3 linked regions of the Sus scrofa genome follow. The protein of the gene in region 1 interacts with the protein of each later gene in a pairwise test. Links are inferred from orthologs where the notes say so. Each region holds a gene or a part of one and is shown on either strand. Other genes may lie near its edges. The genes, in order: CNOT1, CNOT4 and CNOT11.

The links.
Region 2: the proteins of CNOT1 (region 1) and CNOT4 interact in a two-hybrid assay, tested with the Homo sapiens proteins (3 studies listed by BioGRID and IntAct, with this or other methods). The link is inferred for Sus scrofa from reciprocal best matches to the Homo sapiens genes CNOT1 and CNOT4.
Region 3: the proteins of CNOT1 (region 1) and CNOT11 interact in binary tests that used the Homo sapiens proteins (3 or more experiments, as listed by UniProt). The link is inferred for Sus scrofa from reciprocal best matches to the Homo sapiens genes CNOT1 and CNOT11.

What each region holds. Positions count from the first base shown.
Region 1 is NC_010448.4:20,288,727-20,292,377, reverse strand, and holds part of CNOT1 (CCR4-NOT transcription complex subunit 1), read left to right. Parts: intron 1-592; coding exon 593-733; intron 734-808; coding exon of another isoform or gene 809-811; exon of another isoform or gene 812-827; coding exon 828-932; intron 933-1,625; coding exon 1,626-1,745; intron 1,746-2,471; exon of another isoform or gene 2,472-2,660; intron 2,661-3,515; coding exon 3,516-3,651.
Region 2 is NC_010460.4:13,820,383-13,824,489, forward strand, and holds the start of CNOT4 (CCR4-NOT transcription complex subunit 4), read left to right. Parts: upstream 1-1,190; 5' UTR 1,191-1,436; intron 1,437-4,107. UniProt on the Homo sapiens protein: Has E3 ubiquitin ligase activity, promoting ubiquitination and degradation of target proteins. Involved in activation of the JAK/STAT pathway. Catalyzes ubiquitination of methylated RBM15.
Region 3 is NC_010445.4:53,067,755-53,071,405, reverse strand, and holds part of CNOT11 (CCR4-NOT transcription complex subunit 11), read left to right. Parts: intron 1-1,596; coding exon 1,597-1,799; intron 1,800-3,598; coding exon 3,599-3,651. UniProt on the Homo sapiens protein: Component of the CCR4-NOT complex which is one of the major cellular mRNA deadenylases and is linked to various cellular processes including bulk mRNA degradation, miRNA-mediated repression, translational repression during translational initiation and general transcription regulation.

The sequences.
Region 1 (3,651 bases):
AAAACTGCCTAAGTTAACAGTCTTGATTCTCTTTACCGTAAAGACTTTATTTTGTTTATTTATTTTTCTGATTCTATTATGTTTATTAAATAGTGGGTTTCCACACATGGCTTTTTAAATAATCCAGGGAAGGAGAGAAGGGAGAGAAAGATGCAATTGGAGTTCCCCTCCCCCAAACCATAAAGACTAAATTTAAAGCACTTCAGAGGTTGGACAGAACAAAACAATTTAAAGTGATTCTGTGTATGCGTGCTGCACGCACCCACCCACCCACACACACACACAAACACACTCTTAACTCAGTTATTAATTTGGGGTCTCAGATGTCATGGTTGGATAATGCCCTTGTTTACTGCTTTACTGTTTCATAGTGTTTACCATCTTCACAACAGCATAGTAAGATGTTGTGGTTGAATATTTTCATCTTATAGATGAGGATGATTGTTAGACTATTTCATGGTCACAGCTGATGAGTCATAAGTAAAGTTGGAACTTCTAGAATTTTCTAAGCATTTTATTTTCTATTATCCTGTTTTGTCTAGCCACAAAAAACTTAAAAAATTTTTTTTCCTGTTTCTCCCCATCCCAATAGACTGCATCCCCACAACAAAGGGAAATGATGGATCAGGCAGCTGCTCAGTTAGCTCAGGACAATTGTGAATTAGCTTGCTGTTTTATTCAGAAGACTGCAGTGGAAAAAGCAGGCCCTGAGATGGACAAGAGATTAGCAACTGTAAGTGTTTAGCATTTGCCTTTTAAGTATTTTTTTTTTTCCATTTAAGAAATTGCCTCATAACAAGAACCTCAGTGACTTTTTTTATTTGCAGGAATTTGAGCTGAGAAAACATGCTAGGCAAGAAGGGCGCAGGTACTGTGATCCTGTTGTGTTAACATACCAAGCTGAGCGGATGCCAGAGCAAATCAGGCTAAAAGTGAGAATTGGGGGCTCTTGTCTCTCTGCCCCATCTTTGTTTTTTTCCTGTTCTTGTTGCTTAAACTCCTAACCTGGACTAGGATAATGGGGTTAAATGCTGTTTCTGAGAAAGCATTTCATTTCACTTAAAGGCTACCTGTGGAAAAGGCATAGAAATAACTTAGATGTCTTTTCTCCACCCCTCCCCGCATTGTTGAAATGCTGCTAAGAGTTCATATGCCTGTTGGTTTTTATATTTCCCCACTTGTTCTTCCCTTCTGGAGCTTGAATTTTTATTACTAGTTCCCGGTTGGTGAAAAGATCTGATCATTTCTACCAGCTCCATTGGAGAATTACACTGGCATGGTCCTACTTGGGACATTTTCAGTAGAAAAACTCTAATTTATAAATGAGGACAACACTGACAGTTCTCAGGGAAATAGGAAATACTGTGAACTGTGCATGTGTATGTATGCATGCATATTAGTTGTGTTGTTAGATGTTGTAATGAGTATGCATACATATTCAGTCATGTTAAATGTAATGAGTATGCACACATATTCAGTCATGTTGTTAAATGTTGTAATGGCTCCTGTGTCCCTTCTCAAGAATACCTGCCTGTGCTTACTCCCATGCAAATCTTCCAGTTGGAAAAAAAAAGTTTCCTTTGATTGTGAGGAGGATCCTGTAAAATAGATTTTCTTCTTCCAAGGTTGGTGGTGTGGACCCAAAGCAGCTGGCTGTTTATGAAGAGTTTGCACGTAATGTGCCTGGCTTCTTGCCTACAAATGATTTAAGCCAGCCCACAGGATTTTTAGCTCAGCCCATGAAGGTAAATCTTGTCTTGACTTAAATTGAGTAATTTATAGTTTACATTGAATGGTTTTTTGAATTAATTAATTAATCTGTCACTTGTTCCTGGAAGCTTAAGTTACAGGGGAAAAAATTACCCAGCATTGTTGAATTGTAGATTATAGGTGTTCTTTGTATCAAATCAGCATGGCATTCAGGATTTTTTTTTTTAAATCCATGAGATTGATTTAACTTTCATGTCTGACCTAATTAAAGGAATTTACGTAGTGATCTCATGGCCTTCCCTATTCTTTGTAAAGAGATTTTCTAGAAATGTGAAACAAATGTTCCCCTTGTGGCTCAGTGGGTTAAGAACCCAACAGTGTCCGTGAGGATGCGGGTTCAATCCCTGGCCTAACTCAGTGGGTTAAGGATCCAGCTTGCTGTGGCTGTGGTGTAGGCCTGCAGCTGCAGCTCTGATTCTACCCCTAGCCTGGGAACTTGTATATGCCGCAGGTGCGGCCTTAAAAATAAAGGGGGAAAAATGTGAAATGTTATTTACAGAAAAGTTGAAAATATAAGGAGGAAACATTTCCTTCTTGAACTGTTTGAACATTTGGACAGGTACTGACCTTGATGTTCCAGTCCCTCTTTTTTCCCCAATATTTTATTTAAATTTTTTTTTTTTTTTTTTTTAAAGTATAGTTGATTTACAATGTTGTGCCTCCCAGTCACTCTTCAGTCCTGTTATCTGTGTTTCCTACAGAGGCGTTCTCCTGTGTGACCTGGTGTGATCATTGAAATCAGGAAGTTAACACTGATATGTTAATATCATCTAATCCTTAGACCTCATTCAAGTTTTACCAAGTGTCCCAGTACTGACTTTCTGTAGTAGAAGGACCTAAATCAGAATCACACATTTTATTTAGTTGTCATATTTAAATTTTTCCCACAGGTTAGTCTACTATAGCTCCTTTCTTATCTTTCCATGACCTTGACACTTTGACATTATAGATCAGTGATTTTGTAGAATGATGTGATTTGGATTTGTTCAGTGTGTTCTCAGGTAGTGCATCTTTGATAGGAATATCACAGAAATGATGCTCTATTCTTATTTTATCTTGTCAGGGTTTGACAGTTGGACTGAATAGTTTGTTTTTCATTGTTTGGATTATGTACTTTCATAGGTTGTAGAGATTATTAAATGCTACAGGTGGTCCTGCCCTCAGCCTATCCCATTATTTATCTTTAAAAAAAATTATTTTTTTTATTTTTATTTTTTGCTTTTTTAGGGTCACACCAGCGGCATATGGAAGTTCCCAGGCTAGGTGGTCAAATTGTAGCTGCCGCTGCTGGCCTGCACCAGAGCCACAGCAAAGTGGGATCCGAGCCACGTCTGTGACCTACACCACAGCTCATGGCAATGCCAGATCCTCATCCCATTGAATGAGGCCAGGCCCACATCTCATGGATCCTAGTTGGGTTCACTAACCGCTGAGCCACGAAGGGAACTCCCATATCCCGTTATTTATCATGTTCTCTTTCATCACTTGATTGTGTTGGTGTTTGCCAGGCTTTCCACTGTCAAGTGAAATCCCCACTCCTCCATGCTTGCTTTGCACTGCCATACCTAATGGCATTAAGTCCTAATAATTCAGGAAGGGGAGTGGAAGCCCCTCCATGTTTTGATGAGAAAGAAAAAATAAATAAGAATAGTAAACATATCAGTAGACTTTTCATTTGCTACATGTGCTGGTAGAAGATCATTAAAATTTTTTCTCTTTTTTGATTGTATCCCCCTCTAAAACAGCATGCTTGGGCAGATGATGTAGCTCAGATTTATGATAAGTGCATTACAGAACTGGAGCAGCACCTTCACGCCATCCCACCAACTTTGGCCATGAACCCCCAAGCTCAGGCTCTTAGAAGTCTTTTGGAGGTTGTAG
Region 2 (4,107 bases), on another chromosome or scaffold:
AGAACTAACGTATTTTTAAAAAATTAAATGAAGTCTTCTCAATGAGATTAGGTCTACAGATTTAAAATTGCAACCTCTTTCCCTATTCCCCTTCTGTTCAATTTTTTTCATCAGTTACCGTATAATATGCATTTTAATCATGTCTTAAAAATTGCTTCCTTTCCCTTTTATTTCACCTTAACACACACACACTAGAATAGACACAGGAATTCCTGGAAGAGGAATTTTGTCATTTTGCTGGCTGTCACCTCCCCATGTATAGAACAGCGCTGGGCACATAGGGGGAGCTCATTGAGTATTTGTTGCATGAATGGGTGAAGAATTCACGCAACAAGCAAAACCAACTGCGTCAAGCGGCCACTTCCATCAGAATTCTAGGAGGCATGTGGGAGGGACCAGAAAATTGATTTTTGAGATTGAAAATTCCTCGGCGCTCTTTGGGATTGCGAGAGCATTCTTGTACTCCTTGGGATGTATGGATGTATGAAGGGTTTGTGAACTCTGCGCGCAGAGCTGTGCAAGCTGGAAATCGAACTTAAAATAATTTGCACCTAAATCCGTAAAATGTTCTCAAATTTATATAATCAGAAACACATTTTTGTAAACGCATGGGTCTTCTGTTCTCTTGTACGTATATACAGGATAATTTAGAGTATCTTTTCACTGGAGATTCATGGTGAAGATCGGATCAAGGGTGGTGGCTCCAAAATGCACAAACAGGGGAAACGAGTTAACATTCACCTTCCACAAGCAGATGCCAATTCAGTATCCAATTCCCACCCTAGATCAAATCCCGCGCCCCTCCTACCTTCCACCTGCCTCTACCCTGCCTCCTTTAATACCTACGGTAGGCGGGGTCAGAAAAGAGAAGGTCTCAGCTCCCCCAAATTGGTTACGCCCGCCGCGAGTTCTGGTTTCCCATATTTGAGCAACACCGAGGAAACGGAACCGCTAACGAAGGCCGCCGACCAAATGACAAGAGAAGCAGCACCGGGCCGAAAAGGAAGCAAAACACGGAGAAAGGCAGTAGTGTGGCAACCACGTGAGGTAGGCGATCCGGTCCGCCCTCCGAGTGAGAACTTCAATTCCCGGCTTGCAGCTGGGCGGTTACCCTCCGAGGACTACAACTCCCAGGGTGCTGCGGGACCGGCCGCCGGCCGCTCCTCCCGCCCCTCCCCCGCCCCTCCTGGCCGGATCGGCGTGCGCCTGCGCACGGGAGGCCGGAGGAGTCTTACCCTAATGTAAGATGGTGGCCCGTCTGGCTGTGGAACCCACCGAAAGCTGAGAGTCTCCCTCTCAGCCGTAAAGGTCGGACTCGCTGAGGCAATCAGGCCCGGTTCTGAAGAGTTTTTTCCCCGACACTCGTTCAGTGGTTTCTTGTGAGGACGCGGCACCGCGTGGAGTCGGCTAAGGGAAAAGCGAGGCAAGGCAGGCGGGTGAGTCTATGCGGGGCTGGGCTTAGGGGAAACCCGGGGTTGACCGGCTACGAGAGAGCGGAGGCTTCGCTGGGACTGTGCAGGCCGCACCCCCCTTTCTCCCCACCCCCCGCCTCATCTTCACCCTCCTCCTTCTTGGTCTTCCTCCTCCTCCTCCTCTTCCTCCCTCTTCCCTCTACGCCACAGCAGTTACCACCAGGAAAAGGGAGCGGGGCAGAAGGCAGCGCGGCGGCGAGCACCGACTGCTTCGAAAATCTCTTTAATTGGGCAGCCGAGGAGGCTGCTCGTCTTCAACGCTCTCCCCTACATTTTTGTAGGGGCAAGAAATCTTCGGTCTCAGGACTCCTTGTTTTCCCAGCCCCCTTTCGCCCCTCTGACGTCCTTTCCCAGTGGCCCCCGTCTCCCAAGACCAAAGCCATCACTTCCACTCTGACCTGTGTTGCTGCTGCTCATTAATCCCACTGCTCGTTGCCCACTCGTGCTGCTGCTTGTTTTTTGCTCCCTGCTACCACTCTGGAGTTAGCCTTTGCCCCCCTCTCGTGCTTGCTTTTAGCCCCAGCCTACCTGCTACCCTTAGAGCTTCTTCCGATTTGCAGTCTTTCCTTTAACCACATCTGTCATTTTAAAGCTGCCCCTTAAAGTATCTAGATTACGCTGCTGCTTGTACTAACCCACCTGTTTCACAGCTTTCTTGGGTATTGTCCGTTCCTTCCCTCTTTGCTATACAGATTCTTTCAACATACACTTCCAGAAAAAAAAAAAAAAAAAAAAAAAAAAAAAAAAAAAAGGGATGCCCCGTGTTGGCCCCCGAGAAGTCAAGGAAGTTGGGAAGTGAATGAAGTGAGGTAGGATACTATTAAACATTGTGAGTGAAGATCGTTTATTCAGGCTGCCCCGGAGAGGAACGTCTTCGTTTTGTTTCCAGGGATCTGGTTGTGGATTATTCGCTCTGTTGGGACTTTTTGTTTTTGCTTTTTGGCTTTTTTCCCCCTCCTTTCTCTTTTCATTTTGAACCGGTTTCTCCATGCTGTCTAGCGTTCTTCTGAATTGCCTCTCCCCAGGACACTTAATGTGGGCTCTGATTACACCAACAAATATTAGCCTAGGCATTTCAAAATAAGATAAATCTGGCACACAACCAAATTTATCTGTGAACTCCGCAAGCAAATTAACAGTGGTAGTTTGATTATATGCAGGTTTTATGTGGGCTACAGAACCCTTCCAAATTGAGAATTGATTATTGGCTCAGTGAGTTTTATTGATGTGCAGCTTAATTGATGACATTTTATTTATAGTTTGAGTGGAAATTTCCTCTCCAGATTATATCAGATCTACCTAATATTTTTGGATTTGGAAAGTTCTTTCTTTTAATATTTCTAGGACGGTAGGTATCTGAGTAAATTATCTTCTCTTGAAAACCACTAGGTGTGTATGCAAAAGAAAAATTGATTTTCAAAACTAAATCGCTCATTTTTTCCATAGAAAAGAAGGAGACTGGAAAAAGAAATGGCAAACTCTGCACATATGTGCATTTGGTGGCATTCATTGTCATTAGTATTTATATTAAAAAGCAGAAAACTAGAAGTCAAGAATGGCTTATGATGTCTGTTTTGGTGAAAGCTAAATTGAGATGTACTGATTAATGGCATAATGGGAAGAGGGAGCTTTTGCTATAATCAGACTGCTGTGAAATAAAGAATTATCAGAACAGCAAACAGAATTACATAGATCAGATATGTACAGCTCAAGTTTAAACATAAACATTGTGTTCTTAAGATATATGTAAAAATATTAAAAGTCATAGTAGTAATCTCATGCAGCAATATACCTCTTATTTGCGAAAGTAATAATACCTCAAGTATAAATGTAAATACATATAGCTGCCTTTTTAATCACTTTTGGGCATTACTGTATTAATGTGATTTTTACAATTTTATCTGTAATACTTGAGGAATCTTACATTTGGCATTATATTCACTTGATTATGATAAATGGTCTGTTTTATCAAGTGTCAGCTGAGGTTAGTAAAGCTGTTTATGAAACTTCATTTTTCCTTTCAGCCACTTAAGGCTCAAATTGTGGAAACTAAATAAATTCCTACCGTTCTGAGAATTGGAAGCAATTTATATAGCAAACCTTGTCCTAAGTTGTAACCTGAGATTTTTTTTAAGTATTATTAATATTTAGTTTATCAGTAGGAATATATTTAATACAATTGATCTTCAACTCTAAGCAAAAAATATATTTAATTTTCTTTGAATGATGGAGAAGCTTTCCACTTTGAATAATCCTAACACACAGGTTTAGAAACCCTTGGCAGTCATACTTGGCTGAATTGTAAGCAGTGTGTTCTAGGAGAGAACTGTTTGGCAGAAGAGGGAAATGATTTTAATACATCTTTTCTTTTGTAAAGATACTTTGCTTCACTAAAAACATTCTCAAGTAATTTTCTTCACTCCATACTATTTTCCTGCAATCATCAAATTCTTGGTTTCAGCACTCTGAAGTCAAAATGAATTTACTTTGGTATCTTTAACACATTTAAAGAAGATAGCTCAAGTTCTTTGACATTTTAATAGGAAATAGGTAGCTGAGATTTCAAAATATTTTTGTATGGTTTAAGTTTTTAGATGTAACATTACGAACATTGCAGCTTCATAATTTCCTGGGG
Region 3 (3,651 bases), on another chromosome or scaffold:
TAACTGAAGTAGTTGATTTACAATGTTGTGTTAATTTCTGCTGTACAGCAGTGTGATTCAGTTATACATGTGGGTACATTCTGTTTCATACTCCTTCCTTCCTCTCTTCCTCTCTCCCCCAACGGGAACTTCTGCAGTCAGATTCTTAACCCACTGTGCCACAGCAGGAACTCCTCATATTCTCTGCCGTTACGGTTTTGATAGGATGTTGAATACAGCTCCCTGTACTCTACAGTAGGTCCTTGTTGGTTATCCATCCTGTATAGACTAGTTTGCATCTGTTAATCCCAAGCTCCCAATCCTCTCCCTCTCCACTCCGTCCCCCTGGCAACCACAAGTCTGTTCTTTATTTCTTTGAGTCTGTTTCTGTTTCATAGATAAGTGCATTTGTGTCGTATTTTAGATTCCACATATGTGATATCATATGATATTTGTCTTAATCTGCTTATTCCACTCAGTATGATCATCTCTAGGTCCATCCATGTTGCTGCACATGGCATTATTTCATTCTTTTTATGGCTGAGTAGTATTCCATTGTGTATATACCACGTCTTTAGCCACTCCTGTCAGTGGACATTTAGGTTGCTTCCATGTCTTGGCTATTGTGCATAGTGCTCCAATGAACATAGGGGGATGCATATATCCTTTTGAATTATGTTTTTCTCCAGATAGATGCCCAGGAGTGGGGTTGCTGGATCACATGTAAACTCAAAATCTTTTTTGAGGAGACTCCAGACTCAAAAAAAATTTTCCATTGTGGCTGCACCAACTTACACTCCCACCGAAAGAGGTTTTCCTTTTTTCCACAATAAAGGGGTGATTCTTAGCCAGAAAACGGACATTTTCAGTAAACTAGAGTATATACAAATGTCAGATTCAGCAGGGGCTGGGTCCTTGAGAGGGGTAAGCCATCTTGGGCTTTATGTGGAAACCAGAGTGAGGTGGGACCTTCATTCAGAAGTTCTAGCTAGCATTTATTTTAGTGGGTTTAAAACTTAGGGATCAATATTTCATAAAATAGTTAAGGTGTTATAGTGAGTCACTTTTATTATCCTGTTGTACCCTTATGAGAATGATAACAACGTTTGTGAACTTAGGGATTTTTGGAGGGCCCCAGACTCATTTGAGAATGTCAAAAGTCAGCCATACTTTTCCTCTGCCATTTCATCTCCACATAATCTGCTACTTCAAGGTCAGAAGATGCAAAAATAAAACTAGTGCACATCATACAGTCTCTGCTGAGAATAGGATGAGTGAGATCAGAGAGTACTTTTTTTTCCATCAAAAGACACTGAGGTAGGAAGTTGTGTCCTTTTGCTACTGAGTGGTGATCATGCTTGAACTAGGAGTTGGTGGGTTGTGGTAATGCTTTCCTCTCCTTTCCAAATAGGTAGATTTGGTCTCTGGAACCAAATCTAACGTTACGTCACTTTCATTTTCTTGTGTTCTGAATAAAACCCTGACCTCCTCATTTCTGCTTCTGAAGTCAGTGTTACCTAAGTGCTGTCCTTATTAAGAGAGTCACTGCACTGGGTTGAGGGGTGTCTGCGAGGTGTGTACAGACGGGCACAAGCAGACATGCTGTTTTCTTTCCAGGCCACTTCCGGCCGGAGTTCATTCGCCCACCACCTCCCCTGCACATCTGCGAGGACGAGCTGGCCTGGCTGAACCCCACGGAGCCTGACCATACGATTCAGTGGGACAGGTCAATGTGTGTGAAGAACAGCACTGGTGTGGAAATCAAACGAATAATGGCCAAAGCCTTCAAGAGCCCCTTATCTTCTCCTCAGCAAACACAGGTATGTACTGTAAACATTCAGCAAGTGTTCTTGTTTTCCATAAAGTGGCATCTTGACAGTGTCGTATTACTGGAGCCAGCAGTGGGAAGCATTTTGGTCTCTGAAGCTTTATTCTGCCTCCCGCACTGCTCATTTTATCTGGTGACTTGAAAACAAAGCACCTGTGTTCGGAGTCAGTGTGACTCTGGACAGGGCTCACTTCTGGTCCTGTTGTGTACGTTGTTACTGAGCTGCATGGGGCTGCAGGAGGGTGAGCAGACCTGTAACGTTCTGCCAGGAAGGGACGCCGGGCCCACCTCCCAGCTGCTTCGTGCTGGATTCGAGATTCAACTACAGGACTCTTCCTGGGGGAAAGGTGGGCCACTGCAGCTGCTTCCCGTGGGTGAGTGTTACTCAGTTTGCACACTTTCACCTTAGAACTTGTCAGAGGATAGAGCTGCAGTCCACTTTACCACCCAAAATACCATTGTCAGAGTCACATACTAGCCATGTTCACAGTTGACTCTGCTCACTGACTAGACCATCCTGAAATACAACACATGGTATATACAAGGAGACGGCAAGGGCAGAGAAAATTTGAAGGAAGCACTGCTTTGGCAGAAACACTGGTCTTGGAGGGCCCCACTTGGGTGAGAGTGTGACCTGCACAGTAAAGAACCACACGGACCCCCCTCGAGGATCTGTCTTTCCACAGCTGAGCAGGGCTCTGGCTTCTCATGTTCCCTGAAGAGCTCTGTGCTCTTCATGACTTCCAGTTGGAAAGATGACTTGTTTATTTTCAGTAGCACCTGCAGCATGTGAATTTCCTGGGCCAGGGATTGAACCCACACCCCAGTGGCAGCCTCGGCTGCTGCAGTGACAATGTGGGATCCTTAACCTGCTGAGCTGCAAGAGAACTCCTAGGTTTGTTTTTTTTTTTTTTGTCTTTTTTGTCTTTTTGTTGTTGTTGCTATTTCTTGGGCCACTCCCGCGGCATATGGAGGTTCCCAGGCTAGGGGTAGAATCGGAGCTGTAGCCACCGGCCTACACCAGAGCCACAGCAACGCGGGATCAGAGCCACGTCTGCAACCTACACCACAGCTCACGGCAACGCCGGATCGTTAACCCACTGAGCAAGGGCAGGGACCGAACCCGCAACCTCGTGGTTCCTAGTTGGATTCGTTAACCACTGCGCCACGACGGGAACTCCTATTTTTGATTATAACAAATGACAGGGGAAAAAAAACCCATGAAAGATTTAAGGATGGTATTGTTAGAAATCAGACAGTATTGTATCCAGATCAGACAATATTGATTCTGGTTTAATGCCAGGAGTAATCACTAGTGTATTTATATACTCTTATTAGGAAAGGTGCATGATGCTAGTATCTGACACTTCACAAAAATAAATAAATAAATGAGTTCCCCTTGTGGCTCAGCCGAAATGAATCTGACCAGCTTCATGAGGACACAGGTTCGATCCCTGGCCTTGTTAAGTGGGTCAAGGTGTGGCTGTGGCGTAGGCTGGCGGCTCCTGCTTTGATTCGACCCTTAGCCTGGAAACCTCCACATGCTGCTAGTGTGGCCCTAACAAGACAGTCTGACAATTCAAATGTAAATTTTAAATATCAAAGCATGGGGATCATGGGTTTGAGGATGTTCATGAAGTTGGTTCAATGCAGATAAAAATGTCTTCTGTATAAATTTTTTTTTTTGTATGCAGGAAATAGAACTATTTTTTTGGCTGCAACTGTAGCATGTAGAACTTGTAATCTGACTCAAGAACCTTTTTCTCTTTTTGAAAATTTGATTGTATTTAGCTCCTGGGAGAGTTGGAAAAAGACCCCAAACTCGTTTATCATATTGGTCTCAC